Linked DNA regions of Coturnix japonica. The protein of the gene in region 6 interacts with the protein of the main gene of each other region in a biochemical or structural test. Links are inferred from orthologs where the notes say so. Each region holds a gene or a part of one and is shown on either strand. Other genes may lie near its edges. The genes, in order: CUL1, JUN, KLF5, CCNE1, SREBF1, FBXW7 and NOTCH1.

The links.
Region 1: the proteins of FBXW7 (region 6) and CUL1 form a complex in vitro, tested with the Homo sapiens proteins (3 studies listed by BioGRID). The link is inferred for Coturnix japonica from reciprocal best matches to the Homo sapiens genes FBXW7 and CUL1.
Region 2: the proteins of FBXW7 (region 6) and JUN form a complex in vitro, tested with the Homo sapiens proteins (3 studies listed by BioGRID, with this or other methods). The link is inferred for Coturnix japonica from reciprocal best matches to the Homo sapiens genes FBXW7 and JUN.
Region 3: the proteins of FBXW7 (region 6) and KLF5 form a complex in vitro, tested with the Homo sapiens proteins (2 studies listed by BioGRID, with this or other methods). The link is inferred for Coturnix japonica from reciprocal best matches to the Homo sapiens genes FBXW7 and KLF5.
Region 4: of the proteins of FBXW7 (region 6) and CCNE1, one has a biochemical effect on the other in vitro, tested with the Homo sapiens proteins (18 studies listed by BioGRID and IntAct, with this or other methods). The link is inferred for Coturnix japonica from reciprocal best matches to the Homo sapiens genes FBXW7 and CCNE1.
Region 5: the proteins of FBXW7 (region 6) and SREBF1 form a complex in vitro, tested with the Homo sapiens proteins (3 studies listed by BioGRID, with this or other methods). The link is inferred for Coturnix japonica from reciprocal best matches to the Homo sapiens genes FBXW7 and SREBF1.
Region 7: the proteins of FBXW7 (region 6) and NOTCH1 form a complex in vitro, tested with the Homo sapiens proteins (2 studies listed by BioGRID and IntAct, with this or other methods). The link is inferred for Coturnix japonica from reciprocal best matches to the Homo sapiens genes FBXW7 and NOTCH1.

What each region holds. Positions count from the first base shown.
Region 1 is NC_029517.1:75,402,806-75,405,938, forward strand, and holds part of CUL1 (cullin-1), read left to right. Parts: intron 1-902; coding exon 903-1,016; intron 1,017-3,133. UniProt on the Homo sapiens protein: Core component of multiple cullin-RING-based SCF (SKP1-CUL1-F-box protein) E3 ubiquitin-protein ligase complexes, which mediate the ubiquitination of proteins involved in cell cycle progression, signal transduction and transcription.
Region 2 is NC_029523.1:23,599,187-23,603,205, reverse strand, and holds JUN (transcription factor AP-1), read left to right. Parts: upstream 1-1,425; 5' UTR 1,426-1,949; coding exon 1,950-2,894; 3' UTR 2,895-3,519; downstream 3,520-4,019. UniProt on the Homo sapiens protein: Transcription factor that recognizes and binds to the AP-1 consensus motif 5'-TGA[GC]TCA-3'.
Region 3 is NC_029516.1:140,002,837-140,005,381, reverse strand, and holds the end of KLF5 (Krueppel-like factor 5), read left to right. Parts: intron 1-65; coding exon 66-244; 3' UTR 245-2,045; downstream 2,046-2,545. UniProt on the Homo sapiens protein: Transcription factor that binds to GC box promoter elements. Activates the transcription of these genes.
Region 4 is NC_029526.1:7,180,333-7,183,832, reverse strand, and holds part of CCNE1 (G1/S-specific cyclin-E1), read right to left. Parts: intron 2,394-3,500; coding exon 2,247-2,393; intron 620-2,246; coding exon 524-619; intron 180-523; coding exon 45-179; intron 1-44. UniProt on the Homo sapiens protein: Essential for the control of the cell cycle at the G1/S (start) transition.
Region 5 is NC_029529.1:4,939,236-4,943,212, forward strand, and holds the start of SREBF1 (sterol regulatory element-binding protein 1), read right to left. Parts: upstream 2,801-3,977; 5' UTR 2,658-2,800; coding exon 2,558-2,657; intron 532-2,557; exon of another isoform or gene 489-531; coding exon of another isoform or gene 440-488; intron 1-439.
Region 6 is NC_029519.1:29,877,821-29,881,764, forward strand, and holds the start of FBXW7 (F-box/WD repeat-containing protein 7), read right to left. Parts: upstream 2,801-3,944; 5' UTR 2,700-2,800; exon of another isoform or gene 2,696-2,699; intron 1-2,695. UniProt on the Homo sapiens protein: Substrate recognition component of a SCF (SKP1-CUL1-F-box protein) E3 ubiquitin-protein ligase complex which mediates the ubiquitination and subsequent proteasomal degradation of target proteins.
Region 7 is NC_029532.1:6,303,606-6,307,583, reverse strand, and holds the start of NOTCH1 (neurogenic locus notch homolog protein 1), read right to left. Parts: upstream 2,801-3,978; 5' UTR 2,594-2,800; coding exon 2,536-2,593; intron 1,157-2,535; coding exon 1,075-1,156; intron 1-1,074. UniProt on the Homo sapiens protein: Functions as a receptor for membrane-bound ligands Jagged-1 (JAG1), Jagged-2 (JAG2) and Delta-1 (DLL1) to regulate cell-fate determination.

The DNA.
Region 1 (3,133 bases), on a different chromosome or scaffold from region 6:
TCTTTTCCAACCTGAGCAATTCTATGACTAAGGATGAACTTGAAGGTATTTTTCATTACTTCATGTAGAAGTATTTAAGAAGTAGAGGGGACAGAGAAAGTAGATAGAATAAGGTAGTCCAGTTGGAACAGGCATTCAAAGACCACATTACAGTTGCCTTTCTTTTTCAGGGCTAACCAAAAGGAAAAGCACATCAATGTAGATGTTTTCTAGTTGTCCCTTGAACACTTGACAGTCTTAGTTGGGGAATCAACCACCACTGAGATTATAAATGTTCTACTCAAAGAATGTCTCAGTAAAAATAAATACATATGTAAGATTTCATGTTATACAAATATTTTATTTTGGTGGTGGTGGTACTGTTGTTCTTACTGATCCCAAGTAACATAGTTCTTAAAATTCCTATGTGAGAAACACTTGATGACTGTATTCTATGTAAAGTCTGAGTTCTAAAAATCAATGTGAATAGTTGGCGCTCTGTAGTTGTACAGGAACTGCTAATTCAAGGCCTGATTGTACCCCTAGTGAAGGGACACAGCCAGCCCTGGGAGTACAGGTGAAAGCAATTCAGGTTCCACCCCTCCCTAAGCCTCATTTAAGGGCTGGCTGCCACAAGGGAAGGATCTCTACCTGGAGATTCCTCCTTTTGGAGTATTTGGTGAGCCCTGATCCTTGGGATGGGTAAGCAAATCTTTCTTTGCTTGTGACCATCACCCTTTTTTAGGTAGGTTAGAGCTGGTTATCTGCCATTGCCTTTTCCCGCAGTAGATAAGTGTATCCCCACCTCCTGCTGAAGTTATTTTTACAGTGCTACTGTGGTAGTAGATGTGATCCACTGGAGAAATAAATTGGCTTTATGCAGGAAAAGCTTCTAAGCTTCTCTTTCTGACTTTGCTGTGCAGGCTGCTATTGTAAGAATTATGAAAATGAGGAAGGTTCTAAAACACCAGCAACTACTTGGAGAAGTGTTAACACAGCTGTCCTCAAGGTTCAAGCCACGAGTTCCAGTAATTAAGGTATGTGAGAATGATTGCTCTAACCCTATGTTCCTGGTGTTGAGTAGGATTAAATATAGCTTTCTGAATTAAAAAAGGAAAGCAAAAAAGACATCTTCAAAGGCATGGCATGGCAGTTGGCTTGGCAGTTTGTGTGGGAGGGTGTTGCCACTATGGTTTCCAGTAGTGGCTGTAATCTGCTTGTGAAGAGCTCCACCATGGCATCCATCCAGAAGAAAGTCATGTTGTCTGTGTCTCATGTGGCCTCGAGCCAGAGGAAGCAACGTGGCCACACAAATGGAACTCCTGAAGGAACACATGGCCATCCAGGTCTCAGGCACAGGGTGTGGCAAAGTCCTCAGCCAGTGGCTGTTGGTAGCAGTGAGTACACCTGTGGAAAAAGCACCCACGTTAAAGAGATGCTTAGCCTGTTGGTGGGGCTTTGGGAGGATATGGTCAGGCTGAGGAGCATCAGGAAGTCAGAAAAAGAGATGCAACAGACTCTGCGCTCTGTCGCTCCTGAAACAGACTCATCAGCCACTCAATGTAAGAAATAAGGGCTACTTTGCCCTCCCACACCAGGAAGAAAGGAGCAGATCTAAGAGATGGGGGGAATGGAAGCAAGTTTCCTTCCACATCTACCTCACTTTCCCAGATGCCCTTACACATTAGGGACAAGCAAATGACTGTGTGGATAAAAGTGCATCTGAGTTGGAGGGGTCATGTAGGGCACATCAGCCTACTCCGCATATCATGACAACTGCATTTAAAAAACAAAACAAAACAAAAAGGCTTTTTCTGCAAATGATTCTTTCCTGTGTGAGAAGATGGCCAAGCCTACTGGTGATTAAACTATGAAATGTCATGGCACTGCCACTCAGAGTGTACTGCATGCTAATAAGATCCGTAATTCTGCTTCATGAGGTTCTGAGTACCATGAAGCACATCTGAAATGCATCTACACTACTGGCATTCAGCATGAGGAACAAGCAGGAAGTGACAGTTAGAAGCTCTTCAGAAGAGACAAGCAGGGTGAGTGAGGTGATGAGGTGGTATTTTTGTAATGAAGGGAAAAGACTGTACAGAGCTGTCATTTGGGAATGATGTGGTTGACAGCCTCTGGGTCAGGATTAAGGGACAAGCAAATAAAAGAGATGTCATTGTGGGAGTTTGCTGTAGACTACCCAGCCAGGATGACAACACCAATGAATTATTCTTTAAGGAACTAAGAGAGACATCTAGATCAACTGTCCTCGTCCCTAATGGGGGACTTCAGTTTCTCAGGAATTAACTGAGAACACCACACATAATACAAACAGGTCCAGGCGGTTCCTAAAGCGCTTGATAACAGTTACCTGGTACAGGATCTTATGAATAAAGATGGCCTCCTAGATATGTTGGTTGTGAACAGAGAAAATCTAATGAGTCGAGTGGTACTTGGTGACCATTTTTGTCTTAGTAACCATGAAGTGATTGAATTTTAAATCCTTGGTGACTGGAGGAAAGTTGCCACCAAAACTTCAACTGTGGGTATGGGGAGAGCAGATTTCAGGCAGCTCAGGTAAATAGTAAAGTCCCCTAAGAAACTGCTTTTGAAGGCATTGGGGTTCTTTACTGCTCATCGATTTCAGCTTGGCTGAACAGGGCTATTCTTCTAGAGAACCTTAGGCAGGAAAAGAAAGTGTATTATCACTAAAAGCGAGGGTCAGGTAACATGAGAATATTACAGGGATGCTGTAGGGACAGGGACAGAGAGAAAATTAATGTGGTGGGAGCTTGGTTACAAGTTGAGGCTTGCAAATACTAACTAAATATGTTACCAGCAAAAGGGGAGAACCAGGAGGAGTGTTATTTTGTTGAAAATGGTCACCTTACAAATGTGGCATAGTTGGATGCAGTCTTGACCTCTGTCTTCAACACTAATGGTGAGCTCAGGCATTCCACGTGCCCCACTTAGGCTGAAGGTCTGTGACTATGGGGATGATTTTTTGCTGAAAGTTGTGTGGGGTTTTCTGCTCTTCATGGATGCATGTAAGTCTATTGTACCTGATGGGATTCATCACAGGGTACTGGCTGATACCATCACGAGACCTGTCTCAGTTATTTTCCAACAGTCTCATGAATCTGGGGAGGTCTCA
Region 2 (4,019 bases), on a different chromosome or scaffold from region 6:
TGTGTAAAGCTTAGGATGGAGCTAGGAAGCTGCTTCTAACACAGACGACTTTCAGAGGCTTTCCTATACACATGCAGTAACTGCTGCTGGAGCTACAGAGGCAGCTGGAATTACCTGCACACAGGTGCTCATTGCCTACCTGAAGGCTGTGCACACACCTGCAGCAAACACTAAGGCCCACATTTGTGGGCAAACTAATTCACTTGACTGTTAGCACAAACATGCACAGGTATTGGCTGTGTGATTCCAGCACATGGGTGAAGTGGATACACTGAGTGCAGCCAGGTGTGCACAGCAGGGAGGACCGGGAGATGACTCTATAAAAGGAGCAGTAACTTCTATCAGTCAGTGCATCCAGACATTCACTTTTAATTCACAGCTCTTTTTGATTCTGTTTATTACATTGCTCCCTCCCGTACTTTAAGTGCTAATTATGTTATTACATCTAGAAGAAAAAAAATAGCACTTAAGAGTTTTAAAGTGCATTTTCAAACCGAGACTTAAGTTTGTCAGCTTCGTATGTCACACAAAGCGATGGAGCCCAGCAGCGAAGCAGCAGCGGCAGCACTTGTTGCCCCGGGTTCCCGTCCCGTCCATCAGCCGAGCTGCGAGTCCCCGGTAGCTGTGGAGCAGCACAAACCTCCCTCCCCGACCGGATCCCTCCATCTCCAGCCGTTCCCCTTGGCCAAGCTGCGCTCACACACTAATACCAGCACAGCTCTACAACCGGGAGGACAACTTTAGGAAAACCCATCCAGAGCCAGGCTCCTTCCCGGCAGCTTTTTCCCCTCTCATACTTTGGGGAGCTCCCGGCCCTGGGAACAGACACAGCGCTCACCGCAGCGGCTGAAGGCAGGCGGGGCTGAGGGCAGCCGGGCCGCCCGTCCCCGCCCGCCGGGGCTCCCCGGGACGGGAGGAGACGAGGCCGAGCCGCCCCCACCCCAGCGCCGCCCGCCCTGCGCTGTGCCCCCGTGCGGGGCGGGGGCGGCCCCGGCGCTGTGCGCGCCCGCCCCGGCCCTGCCTGGAAGCGGCGGGGGCAGCGAGGCGGGGAAATCACGTGAGGGCTCCCCCGGAGCGCCACCTTCAGGGCCGTACCAACAACGGGACCGGGGGGGGGGAGGAGGCGGCGATGCGGCGGGACTCAACGCGACGTGGAACGGAGGAGCGCGGCCCGGCCCCGCCGCACGCAGCATCTCGGCCCCGAGCGCAGCACAACGCACGGGCTGAGGGCGCGGGGCGGCTCGGGGCGGCATCGCGGTGCCCCGGTACCCGGTAGGGCAGCGGTTGGTTGGTACGAGGCCGTCGAGCCGCCCAACCCCGCTCGGAGCTCGGGCCGCGGTAACCAGATATTCAAAAACAAGACGTCAGCCCACAATGCCCCGCGCCGCCGGCAGCATTACCTCATCCCACAAGGCCCCGCGCCGGCGCTGAGAAGCTTCTAGGGGCGGGGTGTCCATGGCGACCGGCTGCCATGCACCGCGCCGGGCCAGCGCCACGCCTCCCCCGGGACGGGCGGCGGCAGCCAATGGGGAGCGCGCGGGGTGACATCATGGGCTATTTTTAGCGGGCTCCCGGTCGCTGATAAGTGAAGGGCTGCACGGAGCGAGCGGGCTCAGAGCGGGGCGGGCGGCAGCGAGAATCAGCCGCCACAGCGGGCACGGCCGAGCGGAGCGCGGAGCCGGGAGGTACAAGCGGCAACGGCGGCAGGAGCGGCCCGGCCCGGCACAGCGCGGAGAGGCGGCCCGGGGAGCAGCACAGCGCACAGAGTACAGAGTACAGCGTACAGCGCACAGCGCACAGCGTAGGCCCGGCGGGCCCGGCCCGCGCCGGGAGGAGCGGCGTTGTCCCGGCGAGAAGTAAGGAAGGCTCCGGCTTGCTCTTTCCCCCCAAGCCGCTTGGCCGGGAGCGGTGTGGGGCGGCTCCCGGCGCCACTTTTTGGGCTCTGTTCTATGAGTGCAAAGATGGAGCCTACTTTCTACGAGGATGCACTGAACGCCAGCTTCGCGCCGCCGGAGAGCGGCGGTTATGGATATAATAACGCCAAGGTGCTGAAGCAGAGCATGACGCTGAACCTGTCCGACCCGGCCAGCAGCCTGAAGCCGCACCTGCGGAACAAGAACGCCGACATCCTCACCTCCCCCGACGTGGGGCTGCTGAAATTGGCCTCCCCGGAGCTGGAGCGGCTCATCATCCAGTCCAGCAACGGGTTAATCACCACCACGCCGACCCCGACGCAGTTCCTGTGCCCCAAGAACGTTACCGACGAACAAGAGGGGTTTGCCGAAGGCTTCGTGAGAGCGCTGGCGGAACTGCACAACCAGAACACGCTGCCCAGCGTCACCTCGGCCGCGCAACCTGTTAGCGGTGGCATGGCACCTGTGTCCTCCATGGCCGGCGGCGGCAGCTTCAACACGAGTTTGCACAGCGAGCCCCCGGTGTACGCCAACCTCAGCAACTTCAACCCCAACGCGCTCAATTCCGCACCCAACTACAATGCCAACGGCATGGGCTACGCGCCGCAGCATCACATAAACCCCCAGATGCCAGTGCAGCATCCCAGGCTTCAGGCTCTGAAAGAAGAGCCTCAGACTGTACCTGAAATGCCGGGGGAAACCCCTCCCCTGTCCCCTATTGACATGGAGTCGCAGGAGAGAATCAAAGCCGAGAGAAAACGCATGAGAAACAGAATCGCGGCGTCCAAATGCCGGAAAAGGAAGTTGGAAAGGATTGCCAGGTTGGAAGAAAAAGTGAAAACTTTGAAAGCCCAGAACTCAGAGCTGGCATCCACTGCCAACATGCTCAGAGAACAGGTTGCACAGCTTAAGCAGAAGGTCATGAACCATGTCAACAGCGGGTGCCAGCTAATGCTAACACAACAGTTGCAAACGTTTTGAAGAGACTGACTTCAATAGGAACTGTGATGTTGTGGTATAACTAAACGACAAACCAAAAGCGGCGGACGCGTAAAGCTCACGGTAGAAGCTGGGAGGCTGTGAGTCCTGCCTGCGTGCTGCAAAGCACATGTGTGCAAAGACTGGGCAGCCTTCAGCTCGAGTTGGTGAAGCAGCCGGCACCGCTCCGAGGTGCTGATCCTGCTCCCATGAGGCGACAGATCTTCGTTTAACATTGACCAAGACCTGCATGGACCTAACATTCGATGATCATTCAGTATTAAAGGTTAAACTGCAATAGAAACTGTAGATTGCTTCATGTAGTATTCCTTAAGAAACAAACAAACAAACAAAAAGCGGGAGGGAGGTTTGTGGGAGGCTGATAAACAACCAAGAACTGTTGTTCCTGCCTTCAAGTAAATGGTGTATGTACATATCCTTTTTTATTTTATTTTATGAAAGTTGATTAATGTCAATAAACTACTTCATGACTTTGTAAGTTATTTTTATGTTGTTTATTTGGGTACTGCCCAGTATTGTTTGTAAATAAGAGGCTTTTTTTTAGCACTCTGAGTTTACCATTTGTAATAAAGTATAATTTTTTTAATGTTTCTGTTTCTGGAAAAAATCTAGAAGGTTCTATTATATTTAAAAAAAAATAAAATACTTAAAATGCATTTCCTCCTCACACCTTTTTCATTATTATTATTATTATTATTATTGCTAGTATGTGAGTTAGGAAAATGCCCTTAATGCTGGACTCTAAAGGGCAGGGATTATGTGAAACTCGCTCTGTAAGTGCAGGCATGTCCTGGAGAACGTGTGAGGAGGAGACGGGGGGAACCAGATCCTGAGCACTGAGCAAACAGAACTTTTTGAGTTGTCTGGGAGTTCCAGTTCCTAACCTTAACCTGGGAGGTTATTGTGTGTTGTAGTGGCCCTGCTGGGGCGGCTGACTTTGGCTTTAGGCAGGCTCTAGAGATGGTAGAAAGCCGGTGTGTGAAACTGCTTTGCACTTGTATCTGGCTGCTTGTGCTCTTGCATGCTTTTTATTAAGCCAATGCCCTCGAGCAGGATCAGGCAAGGGGCTGTTTGCTTTCCTTTGCAACAAAAGTGCTCTAGACTTCA
Region 3 (2,545 bases), on a different chromosome or scaffold from region 6:
ACCCTGTGTCGGCACTCTTCAGAAGATGCACAGCTGACGTTTCTCTTCCTTCTGTCTGATTTCAGGTGAAAAGCCGTACAAGTGCACGTGGGAGGGCTGTGATTGGCGATTTGCGCGCTCGGACGAATTAACGCGCCATTACAGGAAGCACACCGGGGCTAAACCCTTCCAGTGCGCCGTGTGCAACCGCAGCTTCTCTCGCTCTGATCACCTGGCTCTGCACATGAAGAGGCATCAGAACTGAGAGCCATAGTTGTTGCCGAGGCCGTTCTGTATCTATGCAATTTCCTAATGACTCTCAACCTACAACTAAAATTAGTTTAATTTTTGAGGATGGATTATCCATTTAAAAGAAATCTCAAAACTGGAAAATGTATATTTTGTATATTTATGCAGAAAAAGGGAAGACACTATCACAGTACCAGAGTGTTCAAGTCATTTGTTTGCTCACATGGTGTATATGGCTTTAGTCAGCAGGTTTCATCTCTTTACAAGTATTATGTCTTGACACACGGCAGCATTACACATATTTTTTTTTTCTCTCTAGGTGTTTTGACCAAAGCAGTGTCATTATGGTGACGATGTTTAGTAAACAAATTAATGAGAGACTATAGATGAATGGACACAGTGGAAAAGCCATGCATTGTAATCTGTCAGGGTTTTACTGGACTTGTTTAGTACTTGTACTTTTTTTTAAATGTTAAGTCGTTCTGTGGAGATGAAATACGTAGAAAAATTCATAAACAGCCATAGAACAAAACATTTTGTTCTGTATGTTGCATGTTTGCTATGACAAAGATTTTGTAAATATGCAAATCAGCTTTTTAGGGTTAAAACAAAAGTTTTCTAAGAATTATTTGGAAAAAACAAAAAAAACAAACAAAAAAAAAACACAGTTGTTTTACATTTGTTAACACGGCACATTTACACTAAAAGTTATTTAAATACCTCTCAAACCAGTACCAACTTAGCTTCATTTCTCTTGAGAGAAATGAGCAAGGCATTCGGATGTTTTGTACCTGTTAACTCAGATTGTGTGCACTGAATATTCAAAGCAGGATTTTGTTTTCAAATTTCTTAAAAGGGTAAAACATTTAAAGTGAACTGGAAAGTAAACGTTGGAAGCTTAAACGGGGGGGTAGTTACAGTATAAAGAATGTTAAACCTCTTACTATAAGCTAAACTTAGTATCACTTTAAAAAGAAGGATTTAGGATGCAATTTTCATATACGGACATACTAAGCTGGTTCAGCACCAGTATGATCTGTTTTCATGTGGACATTGCGTGTAATTTACTAGAAGGTAAAGGATACAGTAATTTTATTTAAAATTACAGTGCAGTTTAGTTAATCCACTGTTCAAATGGATACGCACGGGGGAAAATTAACTGCTGACAAAGGTAGCTGAAACTCCACTGAAGTCAGTGAAGTGGTGCCCTTTTATGCTAACAGTGACTTTGATCCACAGTGTTCAGCCTTGAAACATTAAGTGAAGGGCCAAAGATGAGGTTAGCCTGTGCAGGATTTGGCCAGGCAACAGGAGAAAACGAAACAAACCAAGTAAAAGTGTCTGGAGTTCACAAGCTGTAATATTAAGCTGTCAACCAAAGGGTAAAATAAACAATCAAAATACCAAAAAAGGGTCTCGCAGGAAAATCTAGCGTTGTGAAAACTGTTGTTTGTCTTTATTTATTTGTGGTATATGATAGACTTTTTTTTTAAGACAATTTTACATATACTTGATAAATTATAGTTTTGTTTGTTATAGTTAGAAATGTTGCTCTTAATGTAAATAGTTGACAAATGATGTAAATAATTTTCTAAGGCTTCAAATGTTTATACGTGGAAACACATGCATAAATTGGTTGCTGTTTTGCTTCTTTTGCCTCCCCCCTACCTTATTTTTGTATTGTGGTATTTCCTATGCAAATGTTGGAGCAAACAGCTGTATAGTTGTAGAATGTTTTGAGAGAGAATGAAATGGTTTATATATAAAAGACTTTTTTTTTTTTTTTTTTTGCAAAATAAAACAAAGTGCCTAATGTGCGTTTGTGTGTTCTCTGTAGCTCCTGACAATTGTAAGTTTTGTGTTTTTGCAGGATGAGCTGGAAATCGCAGCAATATAAAGCCAAGAATGGCTGTTCTTTATAGGAGGGATTGTCTCTTTGGAAAGTACCTTGCCCTTCTGTGTCCAGCCCTCTTTAAAATAATAAATGTGAAAAGATTATTACTTCAGGGCTCTTCTCTGCCACTAGAACTTTAACAGAATTGTGCAGTAGCCTGAAAATAATTCCAGTAGTCCATCCACAGACACGTAGCTGGAAAGGAAAAATACTCATGGCATGTATACAAGAACTATAGGAGTTCTCTCCTACTTTCAAAATGGGTAAAAGCTGTTCACACCCATCTAGTGTTGCCCAAAAGTACTTTCTCCTCCCAAAGTCCCCTTCATGTCCCAGAAAAACAGGAGGGTCCCAAAGAAGTCTTATTCAATGTCATGTCCCCCCCAACAATCCACATCTCCTTTTCAGTATTTTTTATTGGAA
Region 4 (3,500 bases), on a different chromosome or scaffold from region 6:
TTTTTTCAAATGAAATAGTATTTAGAGGATGGAATCGGTCTTACCTCTGCTATTTGTACAAATATTTGTTGTGGATATTGTGGCAACAATACCTCGTAAAGCTCATTTAAATAGGCAACTTGCAAGTAAATGTTTAGCCACGATACAACTGTCAGTGGATTTAAGTTCCAATTAAGAGCCTGCAAGAGTAGACATACACAGCACTTGAGTATTAACAAAGTGTTCCTAACTGAGACCACGCAGCTTTATTTACTCTAGGCAGTAAGCTGGGCAAGGCATTTTTGGAACACGCAAATCAATTCTTTCCCATACCTCCCTCCTGCTGATAGAAGGAAACAATTCATTTTGTTAAATACTTGTGTACTGATGGATGCTTTAAATCACCTGTTACCTAGAGGACACTGTTTTCTAATTAGAAATTGTCTCTTACCAGCACATAAGATTAACTGAGGCTCTTGCTTTTAGTCTGATTATGCTATACCTTTAAGACAAAAAAAGGACAAATTCCACTTTGAAATATTACCTTCATAATGATCAATTCCATACTGAGGATTTCATCTTCTGTACAAGCTCCATCTGTAACATAGGCAAACTGGTGCAACTTGGGTGGATAAATTTCCTGAGAGACAGAAAAAAAATCAAGTATTCAGTTAAACAAATAGGTCCTAACCAGTCCTCCCATGTACTGAGAAGAACATCCCAGTGCCACTCCAGCATTTCAAAATAGATAACAGGGGAAAAGAAGGAAAATAACCCTCCTTCCCATCCTAACTCATTGTGTTCTCCTCTGCCTTTAATATATATAGATTTCTTTTTCAGCCTCTCTGTGGATAGTTTTCACCTTTGACTTCTGATAGATCAGTACAACATGTATTGACTGACTGCATCACTGAGGTGCATACAGCATACTGTAAATGGCATCAGGATTATTTCAATGCAGCCTGTGGAAAACATCTTTTATCTCTTGTATTTAGATACAGCTCTACTGGTCACAGATGTTTGCACACCTACCAGGGTATACGGCCCTACAAAAGCTGTTAGAGAAACGACCTCAGGTCTTGTAAGTAGCAAACAAATATTAATTAACCACGGATACTCCAGTGAATAGGAAACAGATCACAGAGAGCCCCTCAAACACTGCCATCAGAACCAAGCTGCTTTTCAACATGAGGATACAACCTGGCCTAACTGCTCAACAAGTGTAAGCTTCACCTTAAGCAGAGTTCTACAATGAAGCCTAATGATTAAGCAGCTGTCTTAGTTCCAGCTGGGTTGGAAATACTTTCTTCACAAAGTCAGGTATGATGCTATGTTTCGCTTCCAGGAGAAAAACAATGTTGATTACACACCAATGTGTACATCTGCTGCTGAGCAGTGTTTTACGGAGCCAAGGCCATTCTCAGCAAAGGGCCCAAGGAGCTGGGAGGGAACAGAATTATGACAGCTGACTTAAACCAGCCAAAGGGATATTCCGTACCCTATGACATCATGCAGGAGGCGTTCGGAGGGGGTGGAAGTTCATCTCACTCTCTTCCACTGCTTGGGAGGCTAGCTGGGCATTGGCTGTGGGGCGCTGAGCAATTGCTTGCCCATTGCTTGTTATGCATGTGTATATATATATATATATACATATATGTTATACATATCTGTAACTATTAGCCTTCTTATTTTTTCTGTCTTAGTAAATAGTGTTATCTCAACCCACAAGTTATACATTTTTTCCCCCCTGATTCTCTCCCCCAGTGAGCCCACTGGGAAGGGGGGAGTGAGCAAATGACTGTGGTGCTGAGCCACCTGCTGGGTTCAACTACAACAGCAGCAATATAATTTGTGCTTAGGAACAAATCAAACATCAATAAGCCTCTTAAAAGACAAAGAGTGAGAAGTTTAGAAGCCCTATTTTAATAGCTCAGTTTGTGCCAGTAAATAAAAACGGCTTGGATTGTATTATCCAGTAGGTACTCCACCAACAGCAGAATTGCTACAAGTGGTCTCTGCATAGAGCAGCCAGCCAAAAACTCATTTAGCAACAATGATTAAAAACATTTTGAATGATTCTAACACTGAAGAGACTATTCTTTTAAAATAAAGATAGTGGTGTCTTAGCTAGCCCTAATTTTAGCCAAATCTAAAAATATAGGAAGGATTTTGAAAATAAAAGCTAGCCAAAATGCATTTAGTGTACAGTAAGTGCGCTGTTTGTCCAATCACATTTTTAAGTTTAGATAAACACCAGAGATATTTACCTCAAGCTTTGCTGCTATGAATAAAGAAGAGATCCCAATAAGTTGCAATAGTGTTTTTACAACATTCTGTTGTGTTGCCATAAACCTATCAAAGAAATCTTGTGCTAAATAAAAAGTTTCTCTATGAAGCTTGTAGACTTCGCAAACCTAGAGAGACAAAGATGAAGAACAGCGTTAGAGAGTCAACATCAGATGCTACAGATTTATTCAAAACACGTCTAGGTTTCTCAATTTCATATTTGACTTCTGCTTCACTGATACTAAACCTGACATGTTAACTAAGAGCAGGAGCTAAGCTGTTTCCTTTGACTCACAAGATGACCAGCACTACAGTAAATCCCCCCTCTCATGAAGATAAACCCAAGTGAAAGCACTTCTATGAAATGGGAGCGTGCTATGACAGTACTGGAACATCAGTTCCTCATATTCACAAACACGCATTATTTCAATACCTCAGATGAGAAAATTCTCACAACTGCTTTAGAATCAAGAGCAGAGATTATATCAAATCATTCAAACACCAAAAGTACTCCCATAAAGACAGCAGACTTGCTATACATTCTACAAGCCAATACCAGAGAAGAAAGTTCCAGGAGAACTTGTAGCAGCCTACGAGTATCTGAAGGGCCTACAAGAAAGATGGGGAGGGACTTTTTGTCAGGAAATATAGTGATAGAGCATGGGGTAACTAATGGCTTTAAACTAAAAGAGCATAAATTTAGATTAGATGTTAGGAAGAGGTTCTTTACGTAGAGCGTGGTGAGGCACTGAAACCAGGAAAGTAGTTGATGCCCCATCCTTGGGAGCACTCCAGTCCAAGCTGGATGGGGTCTTGGACAACCTGGTCTAGTGAAAGGTGGCCCTGACTATGGCAAGGAGTTGAAACTACATGATATTTATGGTTCCTTCCAGCCTGACCCATTCTATCACTCTATGTTGTGAGATTCATCTAGTCTATAAGACACCACACATTCCTAGTCACAGTAACTTAAATAATCACGCAGATTTAATCTGTTGCGTGACATTGAAGTTACCTTGTGGAGCTTTAGGGACAAACTGATTATTATACACAATTCATTTAAATTAATATCTCAATATACGGTCAGTTCACGTACCATCAAATCAATCCACCGTGTGCATATTTGAATACATATATTTAATTTGGTACCATTCATTGACAAACGTAATAAGAAGACAAGTAGCTAGTGCTACATGAATTATGAAACATCATGATAAGTGCAGATGACAGTTATT
Region 5 (3,977 bases), on a different chromosome or scaffold from region 6:
GGGGGACAAAATGGGGCAGCTCATTCATTACAAACTAGACACCAAAACCTTGACAGTCCCAAAAAGCCCCTGTATTGAGGGCTGAGGAGCTGGGGCTGGGACGGGGAGGTGGCACATCCATGGTGCATCAAACCCCTCCAACCCCTGCACCATGTGCTGCCCCACTCACCCCCAGGCGGGCAGTAGGGCATGAAGAGTTAACCAGCATTAAGCCTGGGGGTCTGCCCTGCATCCCAGCACCCCGGGGCACTGGGGACATCCCCACTGACACACCCCAACACATCGGGCTGCTCTGAGAAGCCCCCATAGAGCGACCTTCATTTGGGCAGCATCCAAACACAGCGCGGTACCCAGAGATGCCAAAGTGACCCACGAGTGCCCCCAGACCCCAAGGGGCGCCCCATACACCCGGCAGAGCACGAGGAGCAGCAGGGGATACCTCCCAGCAGGGCGGGCAGGGTGAGATCCCGGTGTTGGCGGCTGAGCATTGCGCTGAACGCAGCGGGCTATTTTCAAACCATTTCCTCGCCTCCTCCCCACGTTCCCTCCCCGCTGCCGCCCGCGCCAGCCCTGGAGCGGAGCCGGCCGTGGGGTGATGTGACTCCGCCAATCGCTGCCCGAGCACCCGCCGGCCGCCCCCAGGCAGCCCCAAGGTGAGCGCAGCGCAGCGGGTCACTCGCGGGCACCCAGCAGAGGGTTACTCCAGGTCAGGCAGCATTAACTCCTTCACTGCGTGTCCCCACATCCCACAGTGACACCAGCGTCCCTCCGTGCATCCTCAGCCCGGGATACCCCCAGCCTCAGCGGGTGTTTGTATCCCATGGAGCACCCCCAGCCCTGGGACGCCTACATCAATGGGGAGCTTTTCCAAGATGAGATTTTCAGTGGGACCCAACCATGTCATCAACAAGGGCACAGGGACATGGAGACAGTGGTAAATCCACGGTGGGTCATGGCACTGCTGAACACGGATGGTCTCACCCCATGCATTGCCCCACGGGGCCCCTTACACCCTGCAGTATAAACACATGGGGATGGGGACACACAGAGCCCTTGGGATCACGCTCAGTGTGGAAGGGTACGTATAAGTGCCCGTCAGCAAAAGCTCTCCCTGTAAATAGCAGCAGCACACCCAGCCTGTCTCCATACGGAGTACAAGGTGTCAGGAAACACCCCCAATAGGGACATCCGCCCCCCACCTGCCCATCCCTCTGCTCCCTGCAGCTCATGGGCAAACAGAGGCCGCCGTGGTCTCAGCCCTGGTTTGTGTCCAAGGAGGGCAGAGGGGACGCCAGCCTCGCAGGCAAAGTCCTGCCGTGCACCGGGTGCATCAGGACACGCCGCTTCCCCTCCAGCGTGACAACGAGTTAAAGGTCACCCCGTGGGGCGACTGGGTTCAGCTCCAGCCTCGGCTGTCAGCGGAGAAGGGGATCCCAGCACCGACCCCACGAAGGGCCCGTCAGCCCCACGGGACGCTCGGGGGCTCTGCCGCCCCGTCCCCGCCCCGCTCCGTGCTCCACCGGCTCTGCCGGTCTGTGCTGGGAGCCTCGGGGCCCCGACGCGCACCGAGCCCGGGCGGAGCGGCACCACGTGCTGCCTGGTGCAGGTTGGCTGCTGCCTGCTGGGCTGGGCTGCGAGCTGCGGAGGGGGGTCCTGCTGGATGGGTCCAACTGGCACCTGAAAGAGCGTCTCATTGGCACCAGGGAGCGGGTCCCCCTCGGTGCTATGACTGGGTCCCACTGGCACTGGGGATCGGGTCCCCATTGGTGGCATGACTGGGTCCTATTAGCACTGGGGATCGGGTCTGCTTTGGAGACATCACTGTGTCCCATTGGTTTCGGTAAATGAGCCCCCTTTGGTGGCACGATGGGGTCCGGTCCCACTGGTACCAACGAGAGGGTCCCAGTTGGTGGCACGGTTGTGTCCAATTGGCACCGTCCCCATCCCGCAGAGCCCCCAGGAAGCAGCTCCAGCTCCGAGCGGCCCCGGGAGCCCCACGTTGTCCGTGAGCTGCGGGTCAGTTGTGGACCGGAGCCGGGGATGCCCCGCGGAGCCGCCCCACCCCCACCCGACGGCGGGGGAAGCCAGGAGGAACGACCGAGAGTAACCCCGGCGATGACGTCACGGCGGGGCGGGGCTGGCGGCGACACAAGGCTGAGCGATGGGGGAGGGGAACCGTCCCGGGACCGAACCCGCCGTGCGACCCCCACCCATATTACAGCCCCCAGCGGCCCGTCACCCCCCGCACCACGCCGAGCGCTGAGCTGCCCCCGAATGACACACGGTTTTACCGAGCGCGGTCCCCGCCCCAACCGGACCGGTTCTGCACCGGGTTCGCTCCGTCCGACCGTGCCCCGCCGCCCGGTACATCGCACCGACCGCGCACGGACGGTCCGTAACATCGCCCGGCCCCGCTGCCCCGCACCGAGCGCCGGTACCGCACCGAGCCGACACCCCGCGAGCACGAACCATTTCCCCGAGCAGCACCGAACCCGCCGCCCCGGCCCCGCCGCCTCTTCCCTCCCCGGCCCGATCCCGGTCCCGGTCCCGTCCGCACCGTCGATGTCGCTGAGCAGCGCCGTGTCGATGTCACTCGCCGCGCGGAGCTCCAGGGCCAACCCCTCCAGGGCGGCATCGTCGAAGCTGAGCGCGCTCATCGCGGCGGCTCTTACGGGCGGCGGAGCCTTTAGGACCGGGGAGGCCGCCCCAGCGGGGTCGGTCGCCGCATAATCCGGCGGAGGGACGGGGACGCGCGGCCGCACCGTGCCCCAACCTGCTGCCGGGGGGGGGGGGGCCCTGAGAGCGGCCGCCCCTCGTCCCGCCCCCCCCCCCGGGGTCCCCGCCCCCCCCCGGTAACACCGGGACCCGCTGCGGGAGCGCGCACGGACGGGAGCGGGGGAAGGCAGCGCTGCGGGGTGGGTGCGGGGTGCTGAGACCCTCCGGAGTGTTACGGAGCTGCGGGGTCGGGGAGCTGCAGGTTGGGGTCAATGAGGTTTGAGGGTGTTGTATTTTTAGGGCGCTGCGGTTTGAGGGTGATGAAGTTTTAGGGCCCTTTCTGGGTTCATCCTCACCCACCTTTTGTTTCAGCCCCGGGAACCATCCGGGGAAACAAAGCCCTGACAGTTGGCCCACCCAACCGAGGCTGCTCGTGGGGCAGATGGAGCTGGGGGTCTCCTGCACCGCTCCCTCCCCCCCCGCCCCCTGTGCAGCCCCGTGTGTTGTAGGGAACCGCGGGGCACCGCTGCGATACAGGACAGCGCTGCTCCAACATCCCCACCCGCAGCTGAAGACGCCCCATATCCCAACCCTGGGAGCCCACAACGCGCCATGGGGCGGCTCCGGGCGGCTGCGAATACAGGAATATCGGACCATATCGGACCGCTGGGGAGAAGCCGAGCTCCGTTCCCTTTTCCCGCAGGGCAGCGACGGTCTGTGGGACCCCACGTGTGTGTGTTGGGTGAGGGCACGGACCCCCAGTGGGCATCGCTGAGTGGGGCCGGGCAACGACCCGCATCACACAACGCGGGAGGGGGAATAGACGGCACCGACACGGCGCTGCTTTCCCGTTCCGTGCCCCCCGTGTACCCAGCCGGGCTCAGCACCACGCGCTGCCCCGCACCACGAACCGCAGCCCCCGAGGGAAGGAGCGAGCGGGGCCGCGCGGGGCGGGACAACCCGGGATGACGGTGATGGGAAAAACCCCGCCCGTAGAACCAGAGCGGAGCGGCCAATGGGAGCGAAGGGAGGAGTGGGGTGATCCGGCATCACGGAGCGGGGATGCGTGACATCACGGCGGCCCGGCGGGGATCCACGTGGGGCCGATCAGAGAGACGGGCTGAGAGGGGAGGAACCGCCCCGGGAAGAGACGGGAGGGATCACAGAGCGGGGAGGGACGGGATGGGGATGGGATGGATGGGGATGGGGATAGGGATAGGATGGGATGGATATGGGATTGTGGATAGGAGGATAGGGATAGG
Region 6 (3,944 bases):
GCAGAACAGCTGTCTGAGTACAAAACTTGTTCCCATAGGTAACCTGCACCTGAACATTTACTGCTGAAATCACATCGGTATTCTGCCAGTGAAAAAGCATATATGCAGACTCCTCATCCTTCAGTGAGAAGCCAACCACCTCAGCTCACAATGCAAAAATGATCTGAGCTAAACATATTTGTTTTGAACAAGAAGTATTTCACATCTCCTCTTACTAGCCAAGCTGTAGCACCAGGCTCTCTAGCTGATGGTAACATGTTGAGTTAGTAACAGAGTAAGATACCTGCTCATACCTTAAGACATGACATCATGAATAATTTCGGTAGAACTCTCATAAGATAACCACTATTTCAAAGAGAAGGGCGCGGGGGATTTTTTAAGCATAAACTTCAGAGATATGGGCTGACAAGTGGAAGCGCTTACTTACATAAACCATATCTCCTCTTCCCTCCAAGCCCCATTCACATGAGAACAAGCCACCACGAGGCTGGATGCCCAGAACGAAGCAGCCAAAGCCACAAGGGGACAGGCATGGGCAGGGTGCCGTGAGGAAAGCAGCCAGCAGCGCACGCTGCTGCTCACACAGGGGTGACCGCAGGGCAGCGGGCCCAGCCAGCCTTTGGTTTAAGCCAGCACAGCTTCCAGCAGCACCAGCGGCTGTGCCACCAAACCGCAAGACCAAGAATTTTGTTAACAATCAGCTGATTTCTAAACTTGCATGTGTACAAGCCCTCATCAAACAAACATCTCGCATCTCTGCTGACACAGGTCTGTAGAATCCTCGTAAGCATCCTCAGTCTATCGAGCAACTATGAGAGATGTGTTAGTGCAGACTCACCCCCCAGTTTCTGCAAATAGCTACAGTCCTTTTAACACAGAAGAGTATTGGCAGGAGTGACTACAAGCATTTCATGTCATCTCTTCCAGGAATTACCTGATACACACAACTTGCATCAAAGAAAGCTGAAGATACTTCAGCTTTTTCAGCTTAACAGCACTTTCATTTCAAATGTGATGCACGTAAACTCAGTGTGACTGTGTTCTTAAGAGGAACAGTGAAAAGATTAAACACATTTGCTAAGAGCAGCCTGAACTTCACACAGACTACATGACTAACGCTGACTAAAAGATGCTTGGTTTCCTTAAAGAGACAGAACTTGGTTCAATGACATCAGCGGGCCTAAACCACCACACACGTTCCAATCCTGAGAGCTCAGAGAAGAAATCCTACTGAAGTTCTTCTTCAAAGTAAAGCATGCATACGCAGGGGGAAGAAAGAACTTGATCTGAGAGTCAGTCTGAAGATATAAATGACATCTTTTTCTAAAGCCCCTCTAAAAAGCTGATACAGACCGAACTCATGCACCTTCTGAAAAGGAATATCTCTGCTACCAAACAGATGCTAGTGCAACAGATGCTAGTAGAATTGCTCTGATTAGATATGAGCTAGAATAGGAAAAGTTACCTAAACCCCCCAAAAAAACATTTTAATAGCATGATGCCATATATTCTCTTGAGATATGTGTGTGCCTGGAACCCCCACAGGAACGCTCTGGGGCTGCCAACAGGCAGCATGGGGATGTTATTAGAAACAGGACAGCGGAACAGCAAAGGGCAAATTTAAGTTTGAAACCAGGAAGTGACATAAAAGCAAATGTAATCTCCACAGCAGAGCAGGGGGAGATGCGGTGTCTTTTGACTCCTACAGGCAGTGGACAAAAGCACCAACCATCCCTTCAGCACCGTGACCTGAAGGAAAACTCCTTTCCCAACCTCTGGCTCCTGGGGCAAGAAAAGCAAAACTTCATCTAAACGGAGACTTCATTTCCCCCCACACACAGGCACACACCTTTTTAAGACTGCAATGACAACAAGGAGCTTAAGACAGGGAGATATCTTGGCCTAAAATAGACTCTTCCCATCTGCCAGAAAGTTACATCTCAAAGAGAAGCCGACACACGTGTGGGGCACTGCCTACCTCTGCATTCCCTTCTGCTTCCCAGGCTGGAGACAGGAACCAGGGCCAATGGCAAACACACAACGAGCAGTTTGGGCAGAACTGGCTCCTGCACCTGTGTCTGAACACTGCAAACAAACAGCACCTGAGCTGCTCTCCCAGGTGAGACAGCGGTGTGTGAGAGTAAACTCAGGAGGAACAAAACTCAGAAGGGATGGACAGAGCTTGCTTTCTGCACTGAATAACTACATGTTATCTTCTCCGGTTAAGCACAAGGCAGTCCACTACAGCAATTCTGGTTTTGTTTCCTTTTTTATTGATTTGGGGTGGTTTTATGTTTGTTTGTTTTGGGGGTTCTTGTTGTTTCCGCTCAGAGGAAAATCATAGTCTGCAAAAATGCAAAAAAATAAGGGAAAAAGGAGAAACCCACAAAACCCATCCCCATAGACCGGGATGGCCCCAGAAGCGGCTCCCCAGCCTCACGGGCAGATCACTTGTAGAGAAGTTCTTCACAAAGCGCCAACTTCGGGCTTTAAAAGCGCACGAGCACGCGGCACGCACACCGCACTCGGTGGCCGCTCGTTGCGACCGGGCACGTTGTGCCGCAGGTTCCCCCTCCCGAGCACACGAGGCGGGCCCGGCCCCGCTCCCGCCGGCCACGTTCTTTGTTCGGCGTCCCGCGCCGCGCCGCCGGACACAAAGAACGGCGGAGAGGTGCCCCCCCTCCCGGGTACTCACTCACTTGTCGGGCCGTGCTCCTGCGGGTTGTCCTTCGGCTGCCTCCGTGCGCGCCCGCCCGCCCGCCCGCCCGGCGGTAAGGAAGGGACCGGCCGCCGCCCCCCGCCCCGGGGCTGCCGGCGCCGCGGGGCCCCGGGCGGCTTCTCGGGGGCGGCCGCGTCCAGCCCCGCTGCGGCGGGGCGCTGTCGGGGCCGGGCCCCGGGCTGGCTGGGCGGCAGCGGCGCCGCCCCTCCTCACATGGGGCCGACGCCGCCCCTCGCTGCCCCCCGGGCCGGGCGCTGCGCCGCCGCCGCGGCCGGCCGGGAGGCGAGTGGCTGGGGCCGCCGCCGGCCCGCTCCCCCTCTCATGCACTCCGGGCCCGGCTGCAGCGGCGGGGGGGCCGCTAGAGGCCCAGCCGGGCGGCGGGGAGCGGCAACGCGGCCGCTGCGCTCTGCGGCATGTGCGGGCGGCGCGGGGGGCGCCCCGGGGTCCGCTGCTCGCGGTGGCGGCGGCGAGAGGGGGCGGGGAGAGCGGGCGGGCGGGCAGCACAGAGAGAGAGAGAGAGGGAGAGAGAGAGAGAGGGAGCGAACGAGCGAGCAGCGCGGCGGCGCGCGCGGATGACAGCCGTAACCCGGCAACACGCCCCGCCCGCTCTCTCCCCGTGGCGGCGCGGGGCGATGACGCGCTCGGAGGGCAAGGTGGAGCCCTGCAGGTAGCGCCGCGGCAGCACGGTTCAGCCCGGGACAAGGAGGCGGCGCCGCGAGGCACCGAGCGAGCACGGCGGCTGCGCGCGGGATGGACGCGCCTCCTTCCCGCCGCGAGGGGCGGAGCCACAGACAGAGAGAGCGCGGAGCGGTGGGCGGGGAGGTGCTAAGGCCTTGCACGCCTGCACGTGCGCGTGCCCCCGCCCCGCCGCCGGGAGGGCCGCGCGTTGGCGCTGCTATGGAGACCGACCCACGGTCTGCAGCGTGTGTCAGCGAGTTGTCATCAGAGCAATGCTTGCACGTGTCCCTACATCTCAAGCCCAATAGCAGTTCCAGCAGTGTCTGCCGTCTGTGACGGGGCGGTCGTTATATGGGACCTTAACGAGTTCACCTAGTCTGCATTATGGAAGGTAGCAAAAAATAAAAGGATTTAATAACTGCTCCTTAAGCGTGTGAGGTGGCCGTGCGCCAGAAAGTCTCACAGCATATGGGGAAAAATAAAAAATACAATAAAAAAGCACTTGGTCGTGTTGTTATCCTAAAACACAGAAGAGCAAATTCCATAT
Region 7 (3,978 bases), on a different chromosome or scaffold from region 6:
GAAAACAAGATTTAGAGCGTCACGCGTTGGTAAGGGCTTCTGTGCAGAAAAAAAAGTGGCGTGCATTCATTAGTGGCTCACAAAGGGACCCAGCCTTTGTCCATTAAATTGCTCATGTGCCTGATTGATTTGCTGATTTATTTTCACCAAAGGCTTTGGGGGGCTCCGTTTGGAGGAGGGGGGTGGGGGCTGCCCAGGCGCTGCGGGCAGAGTAACGGTACCCAGAGGCACAGAAAAGCAGCAGGCATTGTCAAGGAGAAGTGCCATTCAACAGGTCGGGGTTGGAAATGCCTTTGGGTTCCTCCGCCGAGAACTTCCTATTGGGAAACTTGGGGTGGGTGGGAACGTCTCCCAGCCCGCTCTCAGCTCAACCCGTGTTTAACAGGCAAAGGGGAAATCTGGCCGGAAAGCAGAGCCTTGCCCATTCAGATTTCTTTTATGGAATAGTTTTAAAAAGGGAACTGCACTCTTATTCATTTCTCTGGGTTATTGTTCCCTGGGAGCCCAGACTGAATCGGCCATCGCTGCGGTGGGTCGGGTGGTCCTTCAAAGGGACCCAAGGCTTTACACATCCGCTTCCCCACCATCAGCCTTGAGAACACCCCATGCCAGGAGTGGGCACGGATGGCAGCGTGGCACTGCCCCACAGACAGACACCCACACAACACAGCCACCCTTGGATGCTTATGGGAGATGCCCTGGATACTGCAGCACCAGCTGCCAGGGAATGAAGGACAACGCAATGGGGCCAGGAAGGGGGGGGGGGGTTGGAAGATAGACAGACAGCCCTCCCACCCCCCGTTGTCCCTCCCTCCTGCTCCATCAGTGGGGCACTCTGATGGGTTAACACCAGCCAAACGTGGCCCTCTGCCCATGTTTTTCCACCCAGCCAGGAACAAAGCCTGATCCTGCCAAACCCGCGGCGACTCCTACACCGGAGCAGGTTATTCTTGCCACTCAAGGAAAGAAAACGCATTTCGCCCTATTAAATCCAAAGCCTTCAAAGCAAAGTCAACAGGCACGTCAATGCTTCGGCTGAGGGAGATGGAAATCCTTCTGCTCCTCCATACTTACTGGCACACCTCCGTCCCATTGAGGAAAGTTTCACACTTGCCCCCGTTGAGGCAGGATTCAGCCAGTTGTGTACACCGCACACCTGTGAATAGAAGGAGAGCATCAGGCACAGCACAGAGCCCGGGGGTCTGCACCCCACTGCAGGGATGGCCTCACAGGGACCACGTTAATGGGCAGGACTACACTGCCCCAAGAGGAAAGGGGCGACCTAAAGTTAACCTGGGGTGGTCCTGGGGGTGGGCTCTGCCTGTTAAAGCAGGAGGGTGGATGGGGAGAAGCTCCGGGTCGGGTATTTGAGTGACAAATAGCACTTGGGAAAAACCATCTGCCTGCAGGGCCCGTGGGTCGCCACGAGCTCAGTCCCGAAATGAGTCGCTCGGCACAACTTGCTATGAGTAAAGGTTTCATTGTCTGGCCCTCGGAGCCGGATTCTGCTCAGTTACTACAGCAACTCGCTGAAAAGTACTAGAATCGCTTCCGATTTCCACCCCGCTTCACTCTTCCCCTTCTTCTGCCGCTCTCGGTGCAGTCAAAGCAGTTTCACACTGAGTGAACGCAGCGTCGCAACCCAAACCCCACCTCCCCCCGACGGCAGCGGAGCGTCCCCATCAGCCCCGGCGGACGGGCCGCGTTCTGCCCCTACAAACAGCGTCCCGAGAGGCTCCAGCTCTACTCGGTCCGTCGGGGCGGCTCCACTGCCCACCTCCCCCCTCCGGCCCCGACGGCAGCTCCGCACGTTGCGGCCCCGCACACGGATCCGCCCCGGGGCCGATGCCGGGGAGGAGGTGGAGGGAGGGAAGGGGGGGGGGGGGGGGGGAGGGGGGGGGGGGAGTTAAGGAAGGGGGGCCGAGGGGCACCCGGTTGACTTTCAAGAAACAGGAAACCGAGAAAAAATTTGCAAAACGGTCAAAAAACTCTCGCGGAACAACAACACGAGAGCGGCCAATGCGTGAGACTCCGTGGAGCCGAACCCCGTCCCGAGCTCCGGGACACACACAGCACTCGGGGCCGAGCACAGGGACACCCCCGCAGTGCTCAGTACCGAGCTCCGAGACCCCTCACAACCCTCAGAACCGAACACCGCGACCCCCACCGCCCTTAACACCGAGTTCTGGGCACCCCCGACGGCCGGTACCGCGACCCCGAGCGGTACCGGTAGCTCTGCCCGCCCGCAGCCCCGACGGCTCCGCTCCCCGCGGAATCCCCGCTGCACCGATCCCGGTTCCCCCCCGTCGGTTCCGGCCGCCCGGGCCCCGCGGTGCCGAACTCCAAAGTTCCGTCCCCGTTTCTCAGCCCGCTCCGCTCCCCCCGCTGCACTCCCGAGTTCCGGACCCTCCCGGCGGCTCCACGCTCCGCTTCCCTCGGACCCCCCGCCGCCTCCGATGGAAGCACCGCCTCGCCCCGCCGCTCCGAGCCGAGCTGCCGGCAAACTTCGTGCCGGAGCCGGGCCGGGGCCCTCACCTCGCGTCGGAGCGGGCAGCAGGGCCAGCAGGAGCCCGGTGGCCAAGAGCCGTTTCATCCCTCTGTGTTCCCACCGCTCACAGCCGCATAGATCCGGAGGCCGCCGGCCGAACCGGCTCGAACCGAGCGGAACCGAACGGAACCGGAGCCGTGCGGCGCGAGCCGGGAGCCCCGAACACACCGCGCCCCAAACGCCGAGAGAAACGACTCCGAGCGCCGGCGCCTCCCGCGGCCGCTCAGCCCCCGCGGGCCGGGCCGGGCCGGGCGGAGGGCGGAGGGGGGGCGGGACGGAGCGGGGCGGGACGGCGAGGAGCGGAGCGGGATGGGACGGAGCGGGACGCCCCTCCCTGCACGGCGTGGGGGGCAGCGCTGGGAGCCCACCCTGAGCCCACCCTCCCCACGGCCACAAAGCAGCTCCGGACGCTGCAGTGCGGTCGTCCCCGCGGCTCCGGTGCGGTCCCGGATAGTTCTGTATACACATCCATGGCTCCTTGCAGCTCCGAGCGCTGCTTTGCAGCCCCTGGGTAGTCCCGGTGCAGCTCTGACACACTTATGGAGCCCCTCCGTGTACCCCTCACAATCAGCCCTGGACCCGCTATACAGCCCCTCCGTGTAACTCCTGTATAGACCCCAAACAGCTTCGGGCTCTCCAAGCAGCCCCAGACACCCTAGTGCAGCGACCATGTAGCTCCCCCCATGCAGTCCCTGCATACCCCCGGTGCAACCCATCCCCTCAGTCCCAGTAGAGCCCCCCACCCCTGTGCAGCCCCATCCCAGGCCCTTACACAACTCCCTACAGCTCTGGTTCAGCCCCCCCTGCCCAGTGGGTCGCAGCTGCTGCTCAGGACCCCAACTGGGGTGAGATTCCCCCCAACACAGTGCACCACACCACTGACCCAGTGCAGGGGTGCTGCTGTGTTGCCCTGTGAGCTCCTGCACTCAGGGCAGAGCCCAGCCCATGTGCTGCAGCAGCAAACAAACAAACAAATGCACGAGGGGAGACGAGCAGCCAACCCTGCCATGCAGCCCTATGAGCTCCGGTCTGTGTGCAGGTCCCATTGCCCCCACCTCCAGCATCCAACACTGCCCTGGATCCTTCAGGATGGGAGTATGGGCACGTCCCACCCAAAACCCAATTGCGTTCTGGGCCTGGGGGCAGCCCCCTGTGCTGCCAGCACTGCTCCCCCCCACGGGGTCACCCCATGCAGTGTGCATGATTCCCATCGCATCTCAGCAGTGGCAGCAAATTGGAACCAGGCTTTGACTTGAGCAACCAGAATCGAGGCTTGAAACTCCTGTTTGTGTGTGGGGATGTGTGGGACGCCAAGTACTAGAAGAAGAAGAAGCAGAGGGGTCGGTGCTGGGCTGATGGTGAGGTGCTGTCCCACCTGTGCCCCCCCTCTCTCCTCCCCTATTGAAGGGCACCCCCACGCCAGCACTGTG